Linked DNA regions of Drosophila melanogaster. The protein of the gene in region 2 interacts with the protein of the main gene of each other region in a pairwise test. Each region holds a gene or a part of one and is shown on either strand. Other genes may lie near its edges.

What was found. The genes of interacting proteins can lie anywhere in the genome.
Region 1: the proteins of x16 (region 2) and CG7564 interact in a two-hybrid assay, tested with the Drosophila melanogaster proteins (one study listed by BioGRID).

What each region holds. Positions count from the first base shown.
Region 1 is NT_037436.4:17,511,175-17,519,322, forward strand, and holds the start of CG7564 (uncharacterized protein), read left to right. Parts: upstream 1-3,123; 5' UTR 3,124-3,293; coding exon 3,294-4,556; 3' UTR 4,557-8,148. Other genes in the region: U4-U6-60K (U4-U6 small nuclear riboprotein factor 60K), read right to left, coding at 946-2,607. UniProt on the Drosophila melanogaster protein: May bind to RNA via its Arg/Ser-rich domain.
Region 2 is NT_033779.5:6,912,866-6,923,942, reverse strand, and holds x16 (x16 splicing factor), read left to right. Parts: upstream 1-3,732; 5' UTR 3,733-4,000; coding exon 4,001-4,419; intron 4,420-5,199; exon of another isoform or gene 5,200-5,331; coding exon of another isoform or gene 5,332-6,602; intron 6,603-6,632; exon of another isoform or gene 6,633-6,733; intron 6,734-6,780; coding exon of another isoform or gene 6,781-7,045; exon of another isoform or gene 7,046-7,190; intron 7,191-7,497; exon of another isoform or gene 7,498-7,555; coding exon of another isoform or gene 7,556-8,260; exon of another isoform or gene 8,261-8,362; intron 8,363-8,542; coding exon 8,543-8,900; 3' UTR 8,901-9,562; downstream 9,563-11,077. Other genes in the region: Hrb27C (heterogeneous nuclear ribonucleoprotein at 27C), read right to left, coding at 1-37; nop5, read left to right, coding at 5,332-6,602, 6,781-7,045; CG32829 (uncharacterized protein), read left to right, coding at 7,556-8,260; Wee1 kinase, read left to right, coding at 10,016-10,517, 10,662-10,998, 11,055-11,077. UniProt on the Drosophila melanogaster protein: Serine/arginine-rich splicing factor (SR protein) involved in differential exon usage during RNA transcript processing, probably by binding exonic splicing enhancer elements and recruiting components of the splicing machinery.

The sequences.
Region 1 (8,148 bases), on a different chromosome or scaffold from region 2:
ATTTGTCTAGTTTGTTAGCCTAGTGCAAGAGTTATGTATTTAGTTAAGTGGCATCTTCGAGCGTCGGGAGACCTCATTCAAATCCACATTAGAACGCGCTCGTCCAGCTCCCGCTCCCGATCCTGCTCCAAATCCCAGCACCATATTCTACATGAAGCCCATGGATTGCGATTTGAATCCTTGTAAATCTCAACGCGAAACAATGAAATGAAATTCTAGACATTATCTAACGTCATGCATGAGCGTAGTTAATCGACGAGCTAATACTACAAACTGATCGACAATTGTGCAAAGTGCAAGAAAATTTATGAATCCTTATGTGTAAACTATATGTAACAGTTATATCGCGATGTATGTAATCTATAATTAATATATTAGACATACACTTACATGTATGTATGTAATTGCAACCTATCTGTGGTAGTTAAATTTTAGTTAAAATTCAAATTAATTGTCTAAGTTTGTCATACAACAAATATATACGAAAAGAAATTAAATGGAAAACTATATACAAGTAATAAAAACAGATGTTTAAATATGAGGATGGGCTGCTCAAGGATAATTAAAAAATGAAGAGGAAAAGTTGCTAGTTATCCTTACTTATAAATTAGAAACAAGTTGTAGGCTGATTAGTTGTTGGGCCAGTAAATCCTTTCCCAATTTTAAACCCGTTTAAAATTCAATTCTCTACCAAAAATGTATTTTTTATTAACAATTTCAATAAAAAAGTCTTAAATTTACGAAATGCAACATCGCTGCATCTGCCTTTCGCCTAACAAAAACAACAAATTGTGTTATACAAAACGAAAACTTGAAATGTTTTGGGCTATTGTCTCTGAAATAACAAAAACAGTTGATGAGTAAGTCGTGCCCAGCGGGCAGATCGCAAGTGGAGATTGTCTGCGTACGCCCACAGGTGAGTACAATAAAGTAATGGTATCAAAATCAGCTATCCGGCGACCACAGCTTAAATGTGCGGTCAAATGAGGTCGTGGCTATATACTGCGAGTTGGGCGCGATGTCCACCGATATGACCTTGTTGTCGTGGCCCTGCAGCGTCTTCAACGGCTGCCACGTCTTGTTGGACCAGATCTTGGTGGTCGAGTCGTAGGAGCAGGTGACCAGGAAGCTGCCGCACTCCTGCTGGTACTTCACGTCCGAAATCAGATTGGTGTGCGCAGGAATGGTATAGACCGGCTGGCGTCGCCTCAGGTCCCAGATTTTACATGTGTTGTCCTGGGACCCTGTTGCTATGTGGAATCCGTTTGGAGAAAAGTCCACGCCGAAAACGGCGCCCAAGTGTCCCTCCAGAAACATGATGCACCGCCCAGTGCGCAGATCCCACACTCGTCCAAAGGCATCCAGACCGCCGGTGACCAGGACACTGCCGTCGGAATGATAGCTAAGGCAGTGAACCGGCTTTGCGTGCCCTTCCTGGTGAAGCACCTCTGTCTTTTGCTCCAGATCCCACAGCCGCCAGCTAGAGTCGTAGCAGGCGGTGGCCAAGAAGCGGCCGGAAGGATGGAAGGCTACCTTAGAGACGCGATGCGGCATGTGGCCGGTGATGTCGGCAATCGACTCTTCGTTGTTGAAGCCCCACAGCTTGACGGCGCCATCGTGGCCACCGGAAGCCATGGCCACCACGTTCTCCTCGTCTGCCTTAACTCCCGGCCGCAGAGCCACTCCGCCCACATAGCTGGCATGTCCACGCAGCGTCTGCTTCAGCTCGCAATCGGGCACGCTCCACAGCTTGCAGAGACCCGACCATGAGGAGGTCAGAAGGAGTGAGGAGTCTTCACTGAAGGCAGCACTACTCACGGGCCGTGTGTCACCCACCTGGGAGCACAGTGGAGCCAGCGACTGGAGCTTCTTCTGCATCTCCACCATTCGGCCGGCACGTGCTGCGCTGGGCACTTCAAGGGCCTCACGTGCTCGTACCAAGCGATCCTTGGCGCGCGGCAGGGAATAATCCGCCAGCCAGAGTCGAGCGATACGCAAACTATCGGGTCCCTCGTGGTACCAGGTGGCCTGATCCTGCTCCCGCTGTTGCTGCTTGCGCTCCTCATCCTCATACTGCCTCTTGTTGATGGCGTTCTCGCCCAATCCAGCCAAGAGTTCCTTAAGACGTCTTCTTCGCTCCGCCGGTCCTTCTCCAAAATAGCAAATGGGTTCGTTTAGCTGGCGCAGATTGCTCTTGATCTCCGTGTCGTCTGTGGACACATTTATCTGTCGTGCTCGCTTTTTCCGCTCAAATTCCTCAAGGAGCGCCACCTTGTCGCGCTCCATTTCCATCTCTAGATCGAAGTAGTCATCGTCAATTTTGTTGGCCAGAGTAGCGGCTGTGGGTGGTGGTGCTCCGGCCTGCTTGGCGTTGCTTGTCTTTTTCGTGGACTCCTCGTAATCCTCATCGGAATCGATGTCTTCCAGTTGCCCGCCTGTTCCAGTTGTTGTTGTTCCTGCCCCAGACGATGCCGTCGTTCCCGATGTTGTTGTTGCTGCTGCCCCAGACGCCGCGGCATTTTGCCGCTTGCGTTCCGATTCCTCGAGCGATCCATAGTGCAGCGTTCGCTGCCGCTTAATGTACTGTATATCGTCGTCATCGGACATCGTTGCGGCCAGCAAACAAGTGCAAAATAATTAATTTTAAAATAAAATTTCGCCGAAACAACGAAGAAACAACAAAAAATATTGCCGTAAAGAAAACGTTTTGCTGCCTAGTGTTGAGCAACGCCGAGAGGGGTGGTTTAGTGATGCCATCACCGATGTTTAGAGCGGTATGCAGCGAATAAGCAATAGTTTTTAGATCGATATTGTTTGTTGTTTATTGTTAAATGAACGGTTTTTGAAACTCTAAATTATATTTAAAACAATAACTATTTAAAACTGAAACTTTATTCCACGTGTTTAATAAAATTTTATATTAAGATCGCGATATACCGTTATTAGAGAGAACTACATTTGTTCTTGGAAATTAAATGATGTGCCTTTGTTTTTTATTTAATCATTTAATCAACAATAATCTATATACTTGGATCTGAACAAAAGCCGTTACTCCCAGAAACCGTGACTTTTCACCGATATATCGCCTACTCGTGCTTCACAGCACTGTTTTTCAGCACTACCCCATTTTAGAACATCCTCACGCACGCACGCACAGAATTTTCTTAGGTGATTAAAAGTGAGTGAAAATTGAGAATTTCCACACGCGTCGCACGCTATTGGTCACAAAGCCAGTGAGATAGCTGTCACTGCCACCGCTGCAGCATTTTTCACGCGCTCCTGGCCAGAAGGATATGAGCGCGCCGAGCAACAAAATGTCGGCCACCGATCAGATGCGAGCAATGCTGGACCAGCTTATGGGTACCACACGGAATGGCGACGAGCGCCAACTGAAATTCTCGGACCCCAGGGTCTGCAAGTCCTTTCTGCTCGACTGCTGTCCGCACGACATCCTGGCGTCCACGCGCATGGATCTCGGTGAGTGTCCCAAAGTGCATGACCTGGCTTTCCGCGCAGATTACGAAAGTGCCGCCAAGACGCGCGACTACTACTACGACATTGAGGCCATGGAACACCTGCAGGCCTTTATTGCCGACTGCGATCGACGCACCGACTCCGCCAAGCAAAGGTTGAAAGAGACCCAGGAAGAGCTGACCGCCGAGGTGGCTGAGAAGGCCAATGCTGTCCATGGCCTCGCCGAGGAGATTGGCAAGAAGTTGGCCAAGGCCGAGGCCCTGGGCGAGGCCGGCGAAGTGGAGGACAGCATGGAGCTGATGAAGGAGATCGAGGAGCTGCGTGCTAAGAAGATCAAGGCCGAGCACGAGTACCGCACATCTATGCCCGCATCCACCTACCAGCAGCAAAAGTTGCGCGTCTGCGAGGTATGCTCCGCCTACCTCGGGATTCACGACAATGACATACGTCTGGCGGACCACTTTGGTGGTAAGTTACATCTCGGATTCCTCACTATCAGAGAAAAGCTGATCGAACTGGAGAAGACGGCGGCGCCGCGGAAGGCGGAGCTCAAGCGGACGGGTAAGATGACGGACCGCGAGGACGAGGGACGCGGACGCAATCGCTACTTTGTAGGTGGTCGTGAACTGGACCGCCGCTCTCGCGTACATCGTTCCCGCTCCAGAGAACGACAGCGCAACCGGGATGGGGACCGCGAACGCCCCAACAACGGACGCGGTCCTGAGGAGAAGGGGAGTGAGCGACCCAAGGAAGCGGCAGATGGTCCGGAGCGAGCCGAAAGGGCACCAGATCGTGGAGGACGGCGAGATGACAGGGACAACCACGGCAGGGATCATCGCGAACGGGAACGCGATGGCAGGCGGGATCGGGACCGACATGGACGCAACGACAGAGGACGCTTTGGTGACAGAGGCGGCGGTGGAGGAGGCGGTGGCCATCACCGTGACGACAGACGCCGCTCAAGGTCCAGGGAACGCTCGCCACGCGAACGGCGGAACTTTAACCACTTCAGGGATGGTGGTGGCGGCGGAAATGGCCAGCGCAAACGATCCTACTCCCGTGAGCGCAACTACCGCCGCTAGGCTAGAATCCCGCCCAGCGCACGTACGTAGCATTAATCACATGAACTATAATGCCACCACAAATTGAACTACTGAAAACAACAGGAACCGAATATTCTTAGCGTAACCAATAAAGCAACCTAGAGCCACACTTTCGACGCTCCAATATGAAGATACAACTACCTTTGTACATTTTTAATAATTTAATTGATTTCTATTTTTGATCTTGCGTTCCAACCTCTAATGACAAATTTTTGTTACTACCCCAAAGTAAACCGAACGCAGTCCAAGACCCCAGCCTCAATAAAAACTTTAAGAGAAACGATATACTCGATATAATGCGATTGAAATTATATAGTCCCCGTCCAGTCCAGTGTACTTGGCACGTAGAGACAGAAACCCAAACAGAAAATAGAAATCCCAACGAATCGGCAGTGTTGTCAATTAAAGTTCAGTTCATTGTAATTCGGTTAGGACACAGCGGCAGTCAAGTTAAAGATAACTAATTTATAAGGATTCAGAGCAGGAGAAACGTTTAATATATGATATTTTGTGTGTTGTATAGCTAGCTACAAGTTGGTAACATTGACTGAAACCCAACCAAACCTGACCACATTCGACCATGTACTCTTCTCAGCTAACGATCACGTTCACCCAGTCGAAGTCAACGTGTGTTGTGCATCGCTGTCGTCCCGCTTTGGGGTAAGCCTCCACCATATTTAACTCTGACACACTCCATCACTGCTCTGATTTGATTTCATTTGATATGATATGATTTGATTTGATTTGTAACCCCAAAGCGTTCTCTACTTGAAGTTCCGTTCCACACTTTCGCAGCCGCTTAAACTCTCGCACAGCTTCGGTACGTATTGAGTATGGCGAGGTGACTATATACATTATACCAGACCAATGTTAGTTGTTTTGGCAGATATGCGTATTACATAGATAATCCAGATAATATAGCTTGGGTACGTATCCATACCGGCCGACGACGTTTCCTTTTGAATCGTCGAATGAGAGTGTCGTTTATTTATTCGGTTCTGGGTACGTATTAATGTTAGAAGATCACGACTGTGGTACGTATACATATAACGACTATAATGGTGCCCCATAAGCAAGCCAGGCTCTCTAGGGTTCTCGGCGATCCAGATCCCAACGTACGTATTTCTCCTCCTCCTTTCTCTCTCTCTTGAAAATAAATAATAAAAAATACAATCACCACAAACCAAAATAAATTTTAATCTCGTAGCTGTTTAGAGGCAATTGAATTAAAATCCGTTTCTTACTAAATCTCTGTTTATCTTGCCAAATGGTACTTGAACCACTGTAATGATGAACTCCAATTAAGAACACAAGTCCGTTTTAAGTTGAAGGCAGCCGTCGGGCTGACATATATTTATTCAATTTCTTCTTTTGATTTTAGAGTAGGCAGAAATGGTTCTGTCAGCTCAACGTCTACAGAGTCTCTCTGATTTTACAGTTTTTTATATATTTTGACTTAGGCTAATCCGCGTAGCTGCGCTGCCGGGTACGCCAGCAGCGGAGCGGCGTTCTTATGTATATCTTATATATCTAGGCTTATCGGGAGAGCGAGATATGTATGTACGTATGTAATATGTATTTGGTCGGCGTGTGAATGCTGACCATGCACTTATACTTTTTGCCTTCGAGTGGGTGATCATGTTACATCTGCCCTGGCCTAACTGCGTGCATAAACATAAACATAAACATAGCAACAAAGTGCTGCCATAAGTTAATATGCTATTTTATTTAATTGTTCTTAATATTGCATAGGCACATACTACATCTCCCTCCTTTTGAAAAATAACGTAACCTAGTGAAGTTATTTTGATTATTAAATGCAAATTATTTTATTTTTATTTTTATTTTGTTTGTGTTTTTGTTTGAACAACAATAGTTGATTTTATAATGCAAAGATAAAAATATACGTAGTGTATGGAAAATTTGTATAAATGATTAAGGAAAATATAAGTTTAAATTCAATCATGAATGAAATTTCTTTAATCTATCTTTATGAACTATTTGTTTTTTGTTTTTATTAGTAAGTAGCGTAATATTGTTATTATCTCCTATGCTTTCTATCTTATAGGGCCCCGTATATTTAAAGTCTAATTTATGACCTACCTCATTTCTTAGTAAAACTTTATCTCCTACTTCTAATTCTATGTCTTTTACTTTTAAGTCATAATTTTCTTTATTTTTTTCTTTGTGTGCTTCAAGAAGTTTTCTTGCTCGAGCATATGCTACCTCTAACCTATATTTACTCTCCTTAGCGTAATCATCTATGTTATATATTGGTTCTATGCTATGTAGTTTATTAAAATGTTTTGGTAAATTACTTGTTCTACCGAAAACTAATTCATATGGACAATAATTATGTACCATAGATTGGGTCGTGTTGAAGCAGTATACGAAATATTGAAGCCATACGTCCCAATCGGTTTTGTCCGTCGATATGTAGGATCGTATATACTCGTTTAAAGTTCTATGACTTCTTTCTACTACTCCAACTGTCTGGTGGTGATGAGCTGTTGATGTTATATTTTTTATTTTCAAATATTTACACAGGTCAGTAATTATTGAATTCTTATACTCTGTTCCCATGTCCGTTATGAACGTCTTCATTGGACCGTACTTTAGAATAAAAGATTCAAATATAGCTTTTGCGACTGTTTTTGCGCTTTTATTTGCTATTGGTATGGCAACTAAGTACTTGGTTAAATCACATATGAGAGTGACTGCGTACTCGTTACCATTTTCTGACTTGGGTAGTGGACCAATTGTGTCCACAACAACTCTATCGAAAGCATGTTCTGGTGTTTCAGTTATCGTCATTGGAGTCTTTGTGTGCTTTGTTGTTTTTGCTTTTTGGCATTTTTGACATTTTCTTACGTACTCTTTTATGTATTTACTCATATTTTTCCAGTAATAATGTCTTTTGACCTTGGCCAAGGTTTTTGTAATGCCTGTATGCCCTCCTTGTATTGGATCATCATGTAATGTAGACAATATAGCTTCTTTTTCTTTTTCATTATTTATTTGGGTCACCGGGTTAAGTAGCGCTACTTTTAAATTCTTTAATATTTTATTGCCCATATTTTTAAATTTATCTATTGAAACGTGTTCAAAGATTTTTTTCCACGGTGCCATTTTGATTTGGCTGATATCATATATACCGGCCTGCAATTCAAGCCTTTGGAGAAATTGATCTAAATCAAGAATTCCATTAGTATAAAGATCACCAACATCATATCTTGCAATAATTTTCTTTCCATGTTTAAATAAACATATCGAGTCATTCAATTGCAATGTCACTACTTTTCGTACCTCGTCATTTGTTATGACTTCGTATACGTTGGGCTCTGAAGCTATTTCTTTGGTTTGCTTTTGCAAATCCAATTGTTCTTTTCCTGCGCAGGATTTTTGTCTACTTTGAAATCTTGTAGTGACTTTTAATATATTTCCAGTTATATCTTTTAGCTCTTTGATGGTTATTCTTGATAACGCATCTGCTACATGATTGTCCTTGCCCTTTAGATACTCTACTGTAAAATTATATTCCTCTAGTTCAAGCCTTATTCTAGTTAATTTA
Region 2 (11,077 bases):
CGCCCACAAAAAGTTTGCCCCTCTCGTCTTCCTCCATGATGTTGTTTTGGTTGTGGTTGTGAGCTATGGCGCCGGGTAGGTTCTCAATAATTGACGTAATCTTGCCGCTTTTTTATTAACACGGGGTGCAAAGAAATTAACTTGTGTTCGGTTGGTTGCCTGTTTTGGGGGAGAATATACAATTTTTACACTGCTGCTGGTATTTTTTTTTTGTGTTTTTTTTTATGTATTTATGTTTGTATGTATTTTATGTATGGGTTGTCCAAAAAGTAATTGCGGATTTTGTAAATGAAAGTAAATGCATTTTTAATAAAACTTCGAATGAACTTTAATCAAATATATTGTTCGATAATCTTTTGCCATCTTTCTGGCGAACATCCGAATTAATCGTTTGGTTCCTTGGAAGCAGCTAAAAATATACGACACCCTTCCAATACCACCAAACAGACAGCATAACCTTCTTTTGGTGGATATCAGCCATTGAAGTGAAACGGATCGAATTCATTGCGTTTAAGGTGCTTATCACAAGCGTTGATTCGGTGTGTTAAATGAATTTCTTTCAATACATGTGGTACCCAAATATCAAGCTTTTTCACCAGTCCAAGACTTTTTATAATGAACGGTTGATTTTTGGTATATTTAACTTCTCTCCTATCTCACGCTCAAGTTACATGACGATCTAATTCGATAAATAATAATGCTTTGATTTGGTCATCATCAACTTCATTTGGCCTGAACGTGGCTCATCTCTAAGTGAAAAATCTCCAGAACGGAATTTGCGAAACCAATTTTGACACTGTCTTCCTTTTAAGGCTTCATCACCATACCATCGTATCTCTCGTAACTTTCTAGCAACCTTCTCCGCGTTTTTTCCTTTACGGAAATAATAAAGTAAGATATGACGAAAATGCTCCTTTGTGGGCTCCATATTAAAATTGACGCCAAACAAACAAATAAAAACAAAATTTCGCGCACTTTTTTTTCTAATGGAAGCTAAAAGTAACAGCTGATAACTGACCAAAGAAAGAATGCAATTACAGAGTTACAAGCCGTTGAAAAAATTTGTCAACGCCGACTATATGAAAAATCCGCAATTACTTTTGGGCAATATCTTACTTTTTGGGCAATATCTTAGGTTGGTTTCAACGTTGCCAAAGTTCTTTTTTCCTTCAAAACAATTAAACAAAAGCCACGACGTTCACACGTAACTTTCTATCGTAACAATATCGATGTCGTCGGTTTGTTTTTGTTGCAGGCACATGGAAAGATACACATAGAATATAAGAAATCCGGTTAATCGAATTGCTACACAGGAAAAAACAAGGTGGAATAGTTAATTTGGTTATTTGCAAACTGACGTTATTAAAATTAAAGGCCAGGGCTATGGTTGAAATTTTTTTAAATTTACATTTCCTTCGGAGACAATATTTCTTGCTGTGTAAAGATCTTTGGTGCGAATGGGTAGAAATGGTCAGATGACAAAAAATTCACGCATAGTTATTATGAAAGGCACAGGTAGGAACAAAAAAAAAAAAGAGAAAAAAGCGGCAGAAGCAACCGGCCGGTACACATACACACAAACACACGCAGCTGAAGAGATTCCGCCGTACACGTGTATGTGTGTTTGTCGTCTAACTGCTTTTTGTACACGTTCACAAGTTTGCTCCTCCTTCGACACCCCAACACTACTCTCATCCCCTTTCACTCGTTTTTGAACGGCTACGTGAAAGTATTGTTTTCTTTTCGCTGTGTCACGAGCGGAATGGTTGTTGTTGTTGTTGTTGTAACAAATCCCCAGCCTCACTCACACACCAGCACACATGCCGCCTATCAATGAGAACAACGAACTTATGTATTTCCAAGGTGAAAAGAGAGCTGTCGCCGGTTCACCACATTTGCGCGCCATTTGCCAGGGTATTACAGATTACAGCCAGATGTGGGCCAAGTAAACATCTACAGGAGTATATTTAAATTTTTGTGCAAACGCCAATGAACAACGGGTTTAAATTCACTTTGTTATCAAGAAAATCCCGTTTTCTTTACTGGCAGCACTTCGCAGACATTTTGCCCATTAACAAGTGAAAAAACATGTGGCAACGCCATGTGTGACGTGAACGCGAATGGAAAGCGAAAAGCAAACGTACCAAAAACCAATGCCCTCAAAATAAATGTTAATTCCATCGAAAGAAAAAACAAACAATTCTTTTTCGAGTTTTCCTCCAGCTTTAAACGATTAATGTTTTATTGTTGTTGCTGGCTGAGTACTCACGACTGAACTGAATGAATCGCACTGGCAGTGTGTGGGAAATTCACCACGGCAAAGGCAACGAAGAAAAAAAAACAAAATGGAAGACGTGCCTTATGAAAAATGATACAACAAAGAAGTCTCAAGAAATGTCTTGGGTCTCAGTTCTTAGAAAAGGGAACAAACGCATTTCACTGTATTTTTACGCTTTTCGTTTTGTTTGGCCAGCCAGGCGGTTTAATCGATGGGGCACTCACTAATTCACGAATGCACTTTCACGCCGGGTACACTTTTGACACTTGGGCTTTCGGGCCGGAGAAATAGGAGCGAAATTAACCAAGATTTCTAATACGCAATTTTACGAATTTCGCACGATTTTTGTATTTTGCACCGCAATCTGCTGGCGTGTGTGAGTGCATGAGTTGGCCGTACGTGTGTGCGCGTGAGAGCGTGTGTGTGCGCGAATGGCCGCCGAGCGCTGTGCAATGGTGTGCGTGATCGTTGGTGTGGTGTTATACATAGCATTTTTTCGTATGTATGTATAAAAATATGAAATTTTCCACTTTGATGGGTGGAAATAGAGTGCCGAAAGTGGCACGAAAAATCGCTGAAAATTGCACAAACCTCTGTTTGTCGAGAAATCCGAAAAGGCGAAGAAACGATTCGAACGAATCGAGCCAATTTTACCCCACACACAAACACACGCGCACACCGAGCAATGGCAGCTGCGTCAAGTATTCAGGCGTTTTTTTTGGAAAGGAAAGGCTAGGCAGGCATTTTGTTAAAGCACTGTAATTGTTATGTAAATGCGATTTTCGGTCGCTTTTCGTTCTTACCGTTTGTGCCAAGTGTTCGTCTGTGGTTTTTTAAAGATTTCGCACTGCAAATTCACTAAATTTAAGTGTTTTTTCCTTAAAAAACTAGCTTATAAATAATTGTATGATTTTGATGCATACGATATTATAACCTAACTTATATGATAAATCGCCGCCACGTTTAATGCTGTGTGACCGCCGCCAGCCAAAAAAAATACCTCAAGTTGCACGGAATATACTAAAACATACTCCACATATATTCTGAATCTAACAGATACTAGAAAACAAATTTAAATTACGAATTTATATCTATCTTTTAACACGAAGGCTAAATATAAAGGAAGTTAAAGGGGACTGGTTAAAAAAATGTATTATAAATTATTTACATTAAAATGTAATTGTGCAGTACAATAATATCTTAAAGGTGAAAAATGTAATAAGATGTGTGTATATGATTTGTATGTACTATACTAAAAAAGGTTTTATAGTCGCTTTCTTTAGGCGGATGGAATGTTTTGAAAGGAAAAAATAATTTTGAGTATTTTTTTCGTAGGAGTTGAAAAGGAAATATTTAGATTTTCATTTTTCGGCCCTGGAAGTTATTGTTGCCAGACACTCCCGCCTTTTGCTGACCGTTACCCGCGGATTGAGCATAACTTTTGGTATATTTTTAGCGAGTCCGCAGTTTCTTTTAATGGTCTGTCCACGGTCACTCTGTTTGCTACCCGGTAAAATGAGTTTTGCGCTGCATTAAATAGAAAATAAACACAAAAATTCGCATCTGCCGACCGTGTTAAGTGACTAAAAGTGTTCGCCAGTGCGCGATTGACCGACCAAAGTGCCCAGGAAGGCGGTGGCAAGTGATTCCAACCCATCATCGATTTTTTTCTGCGCTGCTGCCACATTAATTTGGGCCCGGGGAAAAGCGAAATAAACAGAAATGTCGCGCCATCCGAGCGATAGAAAGGTGTACGTGGGCGATCTGGGCAACAATGCCCGGAAGAACGACCTGGAGTATGTATTTGGAGCGTACGGCAGTTTGCGCAGCGTCTGGATAGCCCGCAATCCGCCGGGCTTCGCCTTCGTGGAGTTTGAGAGTGCCCGCGATGCGGCGGATGCGGTGCGCGGATTGGACGGACGGACGGTTTGCGGGCGCCGAGCCCGTGTGGAATTGTCCACCGGAAAGTATGCTAGGTCCGGCGGTGGTGGTGGCGGAGGTGGTGGAGGCGGTGGTGGTGGAGGACTCGGAGGACGCGACCGAGGCGGCGGTGGTCGTGGGGACGATAAGTGCTACGAGTGCGGCGGACGGGGGCATTTCGCTCGCCACTGTCGCGAAAGGAAGGCCAGGCAGCGACGCAGGTAAGCGCAATTCGCATTTGCAATTCGCCATTTCAATTTTTCATTCATTGTCGTTGCCAAAAACTTCTTGCTTTTTGTAACATGGCGAGAGAAAGGCATACATACAAACAAACGCATACATACATACATGCATGCTTGTGTGTATGCGCATGCAAAAATGTTGAGTTTGTTTGGGCACCTCTGTCGCCTGTTAAAACTAACAGCGTGCTGTTATGCGCAATGAGTGCTGTTAATCCCAGCGCATGAAGTAGTTCTGTACCATAACAGCACGCACACGTGCTCGGGTGGCATACCCATTAATATCGATATGAGAAGTATATAGCTTCTACAATTGTCTAACAAAATCATGCTTGACAACAGTAGTTATCTATTCAGATAGTAATAACAGAATTTTGTTTTTAAGTCTATTATATAGACTATTATAAGTCTAATATATTGTAAAAATGTAAACACTTTCGTGATTAATAAATATATAAAATATATATATTTTATACTCTTGAGCACAAGAATTTGTCCGTAAATTGCACAAAAGCTTACAAATAGTTACGTGACAATGATTTAGCGAAGTCCTCTAATATATTTAATATTGATATTAAAGTTTGATTGATTTGATTAGAAATAGACAAATTAAAATAAGTGGTAAACAAAAGGGTAGCAGGCGGCTGCAAGACACCCTCCTACGCTATTTTCCCCGCGCTTTTACGTTCGTGGTGAATTAATTACAGTGGTGCTGTTATGCGCGAACCAAGTGGCAACGCCGTAGACCGAAGGCACACGTGCTTGCACTTCATTTTGGATTTTTCTTTTACACGCGGCATACGGAAAAGAAGGTTAAGTTGCTGCTGGCTGCCGAGAGTTTCGGTGGTTTTAAATTGAATTAAAATTGAAACTAAATGAGCAGAGCGTAACGCGATGTTTGTGCTCTACGAAACGCCGGCGGGCTACGCGATTTTCAAGCTGCTGGACGAAAAGAAACTGGAGCAGGTGGACAATCTGTACCAGGAGTTTGAGACTCCGGAGAAGGCCAACAAGCTGCTGAAGCTGAAGCACTTTGAGAAATTCAATGACACCACAGAGGCGCTGGCCGCTGCAACGGCGGCGGTGGAGGGCAAGGTAGCCAAGCCGCTGAAAAAGACACTCAAGAAGCTGCTCGTTGACGACGTGCAGTCTTCGCTCTTGGTTGCCGATGCCAAACTGGGCACAGCCATCAAGGACAAACTGTCGGTACAGTGTGTCTGCAACACTGGCGTCCAGGAGCTGATGCGCTGTATTCGCCAGCAGGCGGACAGTCTGCTTGGTGGTCTGCCCAAGCGTGAGATGACCGCCATGGCCCTGGGTCTTGCCCACTCCTTGTCGCGCTACAAGCTTAAGTTCTCGCCCGACAAGATCGACACAATGATTGTGCAGGCCCAGTGCTTGCTGGATGACCTGGACAAGGAGTTGAACAACTACATGATGCGTGCACGCGAGTGGTACGGTTGGCACTTTCCCGAGCTGGGCAAGATTATTACCGACAACATTGCCTTCGTGAAGACCATCAAGTTGGTGGGCACCAGGGATAATATGGCCACAAGCGATCTGTCCGACATTCTGCCAGAAGATGTGGAGGAAAAGGTCAAGGAGGCAGCTGAGATCTCTATGGGTACCGAAATCTCCGAGGAGGATGTGCTGAACATTCAGTGTCTGTGCGACGAGATCATATCGATCAACGATTACCGCACCCACTTGTACGACTACTTGAAGGCCAGAATGATGGCCATGGCTCCGAATTTGACAGTGCTCGTGGGCGACACCGTCGGCGCTCGACTGATTGCCCATGCTGGCTCGCTGATTAACCTGGCCAAGCATCCCTCATCTACTGTACAAATTCTGGGCGCCGAGAAAGCACTCTTCCGTGCGCTGAAGACCAAGAAGGATACTCCAAAGTACGGTTTGATCTATCACGCCCAGTTGGTGGGACAGGCAAGCCAGAAGAACAAGGGCAAAATGTCGCGTTCACTGGCCGCCAAAGCGTCGCTTGCCACGCGTGTTGATGCCTTTGGCGAAGAGGCTACCTTTGAGCTAGGAGCGGCTCACAAGGTTAAACTGGAGTCTCGGCTGCGACTCCTGGAGGAGGGCAACCTGCGCAAACTCTCCGGCACCGGCAAGGCCAAGGCCAAGTTCGAGAAGTACCAGGCCAAGAGGTATGTTTTAGCTGTCAATTATATAAGAGTAAACAGATTTCCAGTGATGATACCCAAAAGGTTTCGCATGTATCCGATTAAGATGACGATAAACCTTGGCTGTCTGAGCGAAATTGGGTTTACAATCAGGCTATCTCTCGATTGTTCAGTGTATTTAATTTATTTCTTAACTTTTTAGCGAGGTGTTCACCTACCAACCAGAGGCCGACAACACCTTGAACGTGAAGAAGAAGCGCAAGCACTCCGAGTCCGAACAGCAGACGCCTGTTAAGAAGGAGGAACCTGCTGAGGAGGAGGCGGAGGTCAAGTCCGAGAAGAAGAAGAAAAAGAAGAAGAAGCAGAAGGACGAAGAGGTGGAGGCCGTTGAGGAGGCGGCAGCACCAGAGCCCGAGGATCAGCCAACACCAGCAAAGAAAAAGAAAAAGTCAAAGCACCAGGAGTAATTTCCCACCTTGACTAGTTAGTAGGCCTTAAGTTTTAGCATCATAGGTTACCTTACTGTAAAGTATAGGATTTTATAATTACCAAAACGATTAAAGTTTCCGGTGTACATTAGAAATAAAATGTAATATTTGCATAACAAAATACAAATGTTAATATGTTATTCGTATTGGTTTTGATATACTTAATTCTTAAGAAAGCAATTGCAATTGTTTAATGTCCTTTGATTTTAAGAACTAAGCTACCTCTTAGGCATTCAGTTCTTGTCTGCGAAGCTTAGCAACATATTTCAAAAGCAGCTCCCAATTTTGGAGGCCAATCCGTCACTCGCTGCGAGGTAAAAAGTACGTTTGACTGCGGTAAAGGGACCAATGGAGCAGAAAGTTTTTACGTCAGCCCCAATTGCTTGCATCATGATGCCAGGCCCAGTCATTTTGACCATTTTGTGGTCAACGGCGTGGTATATAAATGCGATTGCAACTGGTGCCATTTGAACGAGAAAACTATGCGAGATGCATGGTCATTTTAAGTTGCTGCTGGTCCTGGGACTCCTGCTGACTTACGCGGCAGCCAAGAAGAAGGAGGCCTCATCATCCGAGGAGGAGGAGGGTGGCGACAAGTACGAGAAGAAGAAGTTCGGTGACGAGGAGCACAAGGGTGAGCACGGACACAAGGAGCACAAGGAATGGGAAGAGGACGAGAAGAAGCACCACGAGGTGGAAGACCACGAGCACCACCACGGCGACAAGGGATCGAAGAAGAAGAAACACTACGATGAGAAGGATGAGCATGGTGAGAAGCATGAACACGGCGCTCACAAGAAGGGCGGCAAACATCATCACAAAAAGAAGCACAAGAAGGGTCACAAGGAATTAGAATACCACAAGAAGTTCAAAAAGGACGAGTACATCAAGGAGAAGAAGTTCTACGATGATGAGCACAAGGGCGGACATCATAAGAAGTATGGAAAGGAGCACCATCATCATGCCGAGGAGCACGGCGAGCACAAGAAGGGCGAAAAGCACGAGGGCGGCAAAAAGAAGGGTCACAAGAAGCACCACGGACACTACAAGAAGGGTCACCACGACGAGGACCACAAGAAGTACAAGAAGGAGCACAAGTACGGCGACAGCTTCGAGGAGAAGAAGGAGCACGGCGAGAAGGGCTCCAAGAAGCACGGCCACAAGCACTACAAAAAGAAGGGCGGCAAGCATTGAGCAAGCTATATTATACATGTGATCTTTATGTGAAATGCAGAATTAAAACTGGGAGAGGTTCTAGAATATTATACTGTCTTGTGTTTTATTCAATAAGCTGTTAAAACTTAATCTGCTAAAAGCTAGTTTTGATACTTACAATGTTTCAAATAATATAGCACACTATAATATATTTAAATGTATTAGTATATTAGTATATACATATATAAGGTAGCTTAAATTGTTACGTTTTTTGAAAAGCCTGATAGCTAATCACGACGATTTATCCCATTTCATTTCCAGAAGCAACTCATTCAGCAGATCTCGGAGCACATCGCGACGCAGGCGCACTCGCTCCAAGTCCGGAACTCGATCCCGCAGTCGCTCCGCCGGCTCGGTGGGCCGTCGCTCCGGCCGCTCGAACGGACGGGACGAGAACGGATCGGCGTCGAGGTACAGCGACCACGAGCGCAACGGCAGTGGAGCGGTAGATTCACCGCCGCCGCCAAAACGGCGCTATGAGGATGAGGACGATGACCGGGTTAGGGGATCGCCGCGGTCGCGTTCCCGATCTCGATCGGCGTCGCCAGCGGTGCGCCGTGGATCGCCGCCCAGGCGTCGTGGTGACTCGTCCGCCTCACGATCCGTTTCAAGGGACTAGCGACAGCGAACGGATGCAGACGGAGCCCGACATGCGATGATGAGGGCCGGAGCTGCAACCCCCCGATGAATCCGGCGAGATGGGCTCTCCACGCACTGGACTCTAATCCTCATTCCCAAAAGAAACAACCTCACGTGTAACAAGACAGATTCCCAAATACTTTTTCATGCAGTATCCATCTAAGGTTTTTAGTTGTCCAAAACCATATTAGTTAAGGGTTTTAATTTATAGTGGAACTCGAGTTTGCATATTTAGGTATTCTAATGTTCCAACACAACAACAAATACAAGCACACGCAGAACAAAGGAGAGCGCTTCGGAAAATCATTTGACGGAAGGAAATTTAAGATATAGAAATGTATCGGCAGCCGCAGATTAACGATCTAGTCAGGATTGCTATGTAAATTGATTTGCCTTGGATTTTATTTTGCTTACCCTGGAATTATACTCGAATGTGCAGAGGACGAAGCATCGCCACCATTTTCATGTCAATTTTACACAATTTTCAATTTATGCAACACAACAACTTGATTATTTGACTCCAATCTCTGTATGATGTGTTTCTATATTCGTAATAATTAAGTATTGCAACAGTGCATAATAATTATTCATACATTGATGTCATAGTTAAGTATTAAAAAAATACATATGTATGGATTCTTGAGATGTGTGTTTGAATTATGTAGCAAATGCGCTGAACACTAAAATACAGATATTCAATCAATAAATTAAATGCCAAAATTAGTTGTTTTCCATTTGAATTTGGCGGGCTTTATGCGGTCTTGAACAAGTCTGGTCACTCAGTTTAGAAGTAGGTGCGCATTATTTAAATTGGTATTTTTGCCAGATGTTTAGTATTTTGTTTGTTTGGTAACTCTGCACTTCCAGTTACTTAGTATTTTTTCAGTCAGAGCTGGTATTTTATTGCGCATCGGGTACGGCCACATTATTAGACTAGCATTCCTCCAGTTAAATTTTGTTTTGTGTTTTGTTTTGCATTTTTTTTAACTATTGCCTTTACTTTACTGCCGCCGGCTTCCATACAAATAGTTCTGAAATCAGAAATAACGAACAGAATCGTCTTTCAACGTGGTCAGCTGGACAGCTACAGCAACAATGGCATTCCGCCAGTCGGAGCACGAGATGAGCGTCACCTCACTCGATTCAAGCGTCGAACTGAGATCGCGTTCGCCATCGCCGCAGGTCTTCAATCCGCGCAAGCTCCGCTTCGCCGATGATGACTTTGACAAGGACACGCCCGAGGGAGCGAGTCCGCAGCATCCCCTTCAGCAGCGGCCGAAGCTATCCTCCGGTGAGGAGCAGCAGCTGGACAGTAAGATAGGCAAAGAAGGCGGCGACGGGGACGTGTCCATGTCGCCGCCATGCCAAAAGGTGCGGGCCCTGCGACTCTTTAGCACACCGGCCACTCCAAAGACCATCCTGCAGAAGTCGACGACGCAGTGCAGCAACCATCTGTCGGCGGCAGCAGCGGCAGTGAATGCCTCCAGGCGCAGCGACGACCTCTTCCGCCTGTCAGAGCGCCCGCGATCTCTGCCACTGCACAACCGCAAACTGCCCACCCAGGACACGGCAAATGTGAACCCCTTCACGCCAGATAGTAAGTTTAAAACGTTTCTCGCTTTTGATATTTTAATTAAATAAAGGTATCAATTTCCAGTTCGTTGCTTTAATTTGCACTCCACTTTAACCCATCCCAGCTTAGTCTTATTAGCAATCTAATAATCATTTTTTTTATTTTTAGGCCTCATGGCTCACAATAAGAAGCGCTGTCGCACGCAATTCGGACGCGAAAACCTCAACCTGAACGTGAATGCTATGCAAAAGTATTTGCTCAGTGATGCCTGCGACGACGATGTGACGGAGGAGGCGGGCGACTCGATGCGCGAAATCCACCAGCAGGCACCCAAGCGGCTGGCCCTGCACGACACGAACATCAGTCGCTTCAAGCGGGAGTTCATGCAAGTCAACGTAATCGGCGTTGGCGAGTTCGGTGTGGTGTTCCAATGCGTCAATCGACTAGATGGCTGCATATATGCGATTAAAAAGAGTAAGAAGCCGGTGGCAGGCAGTTCTTTCGAGTGAGTATTCATTAGTTATTGCAACGAGCGTCGTTTAACAATCTATTTGCTTGCAGAAAGAGAGCCCTGAACGAGGTCT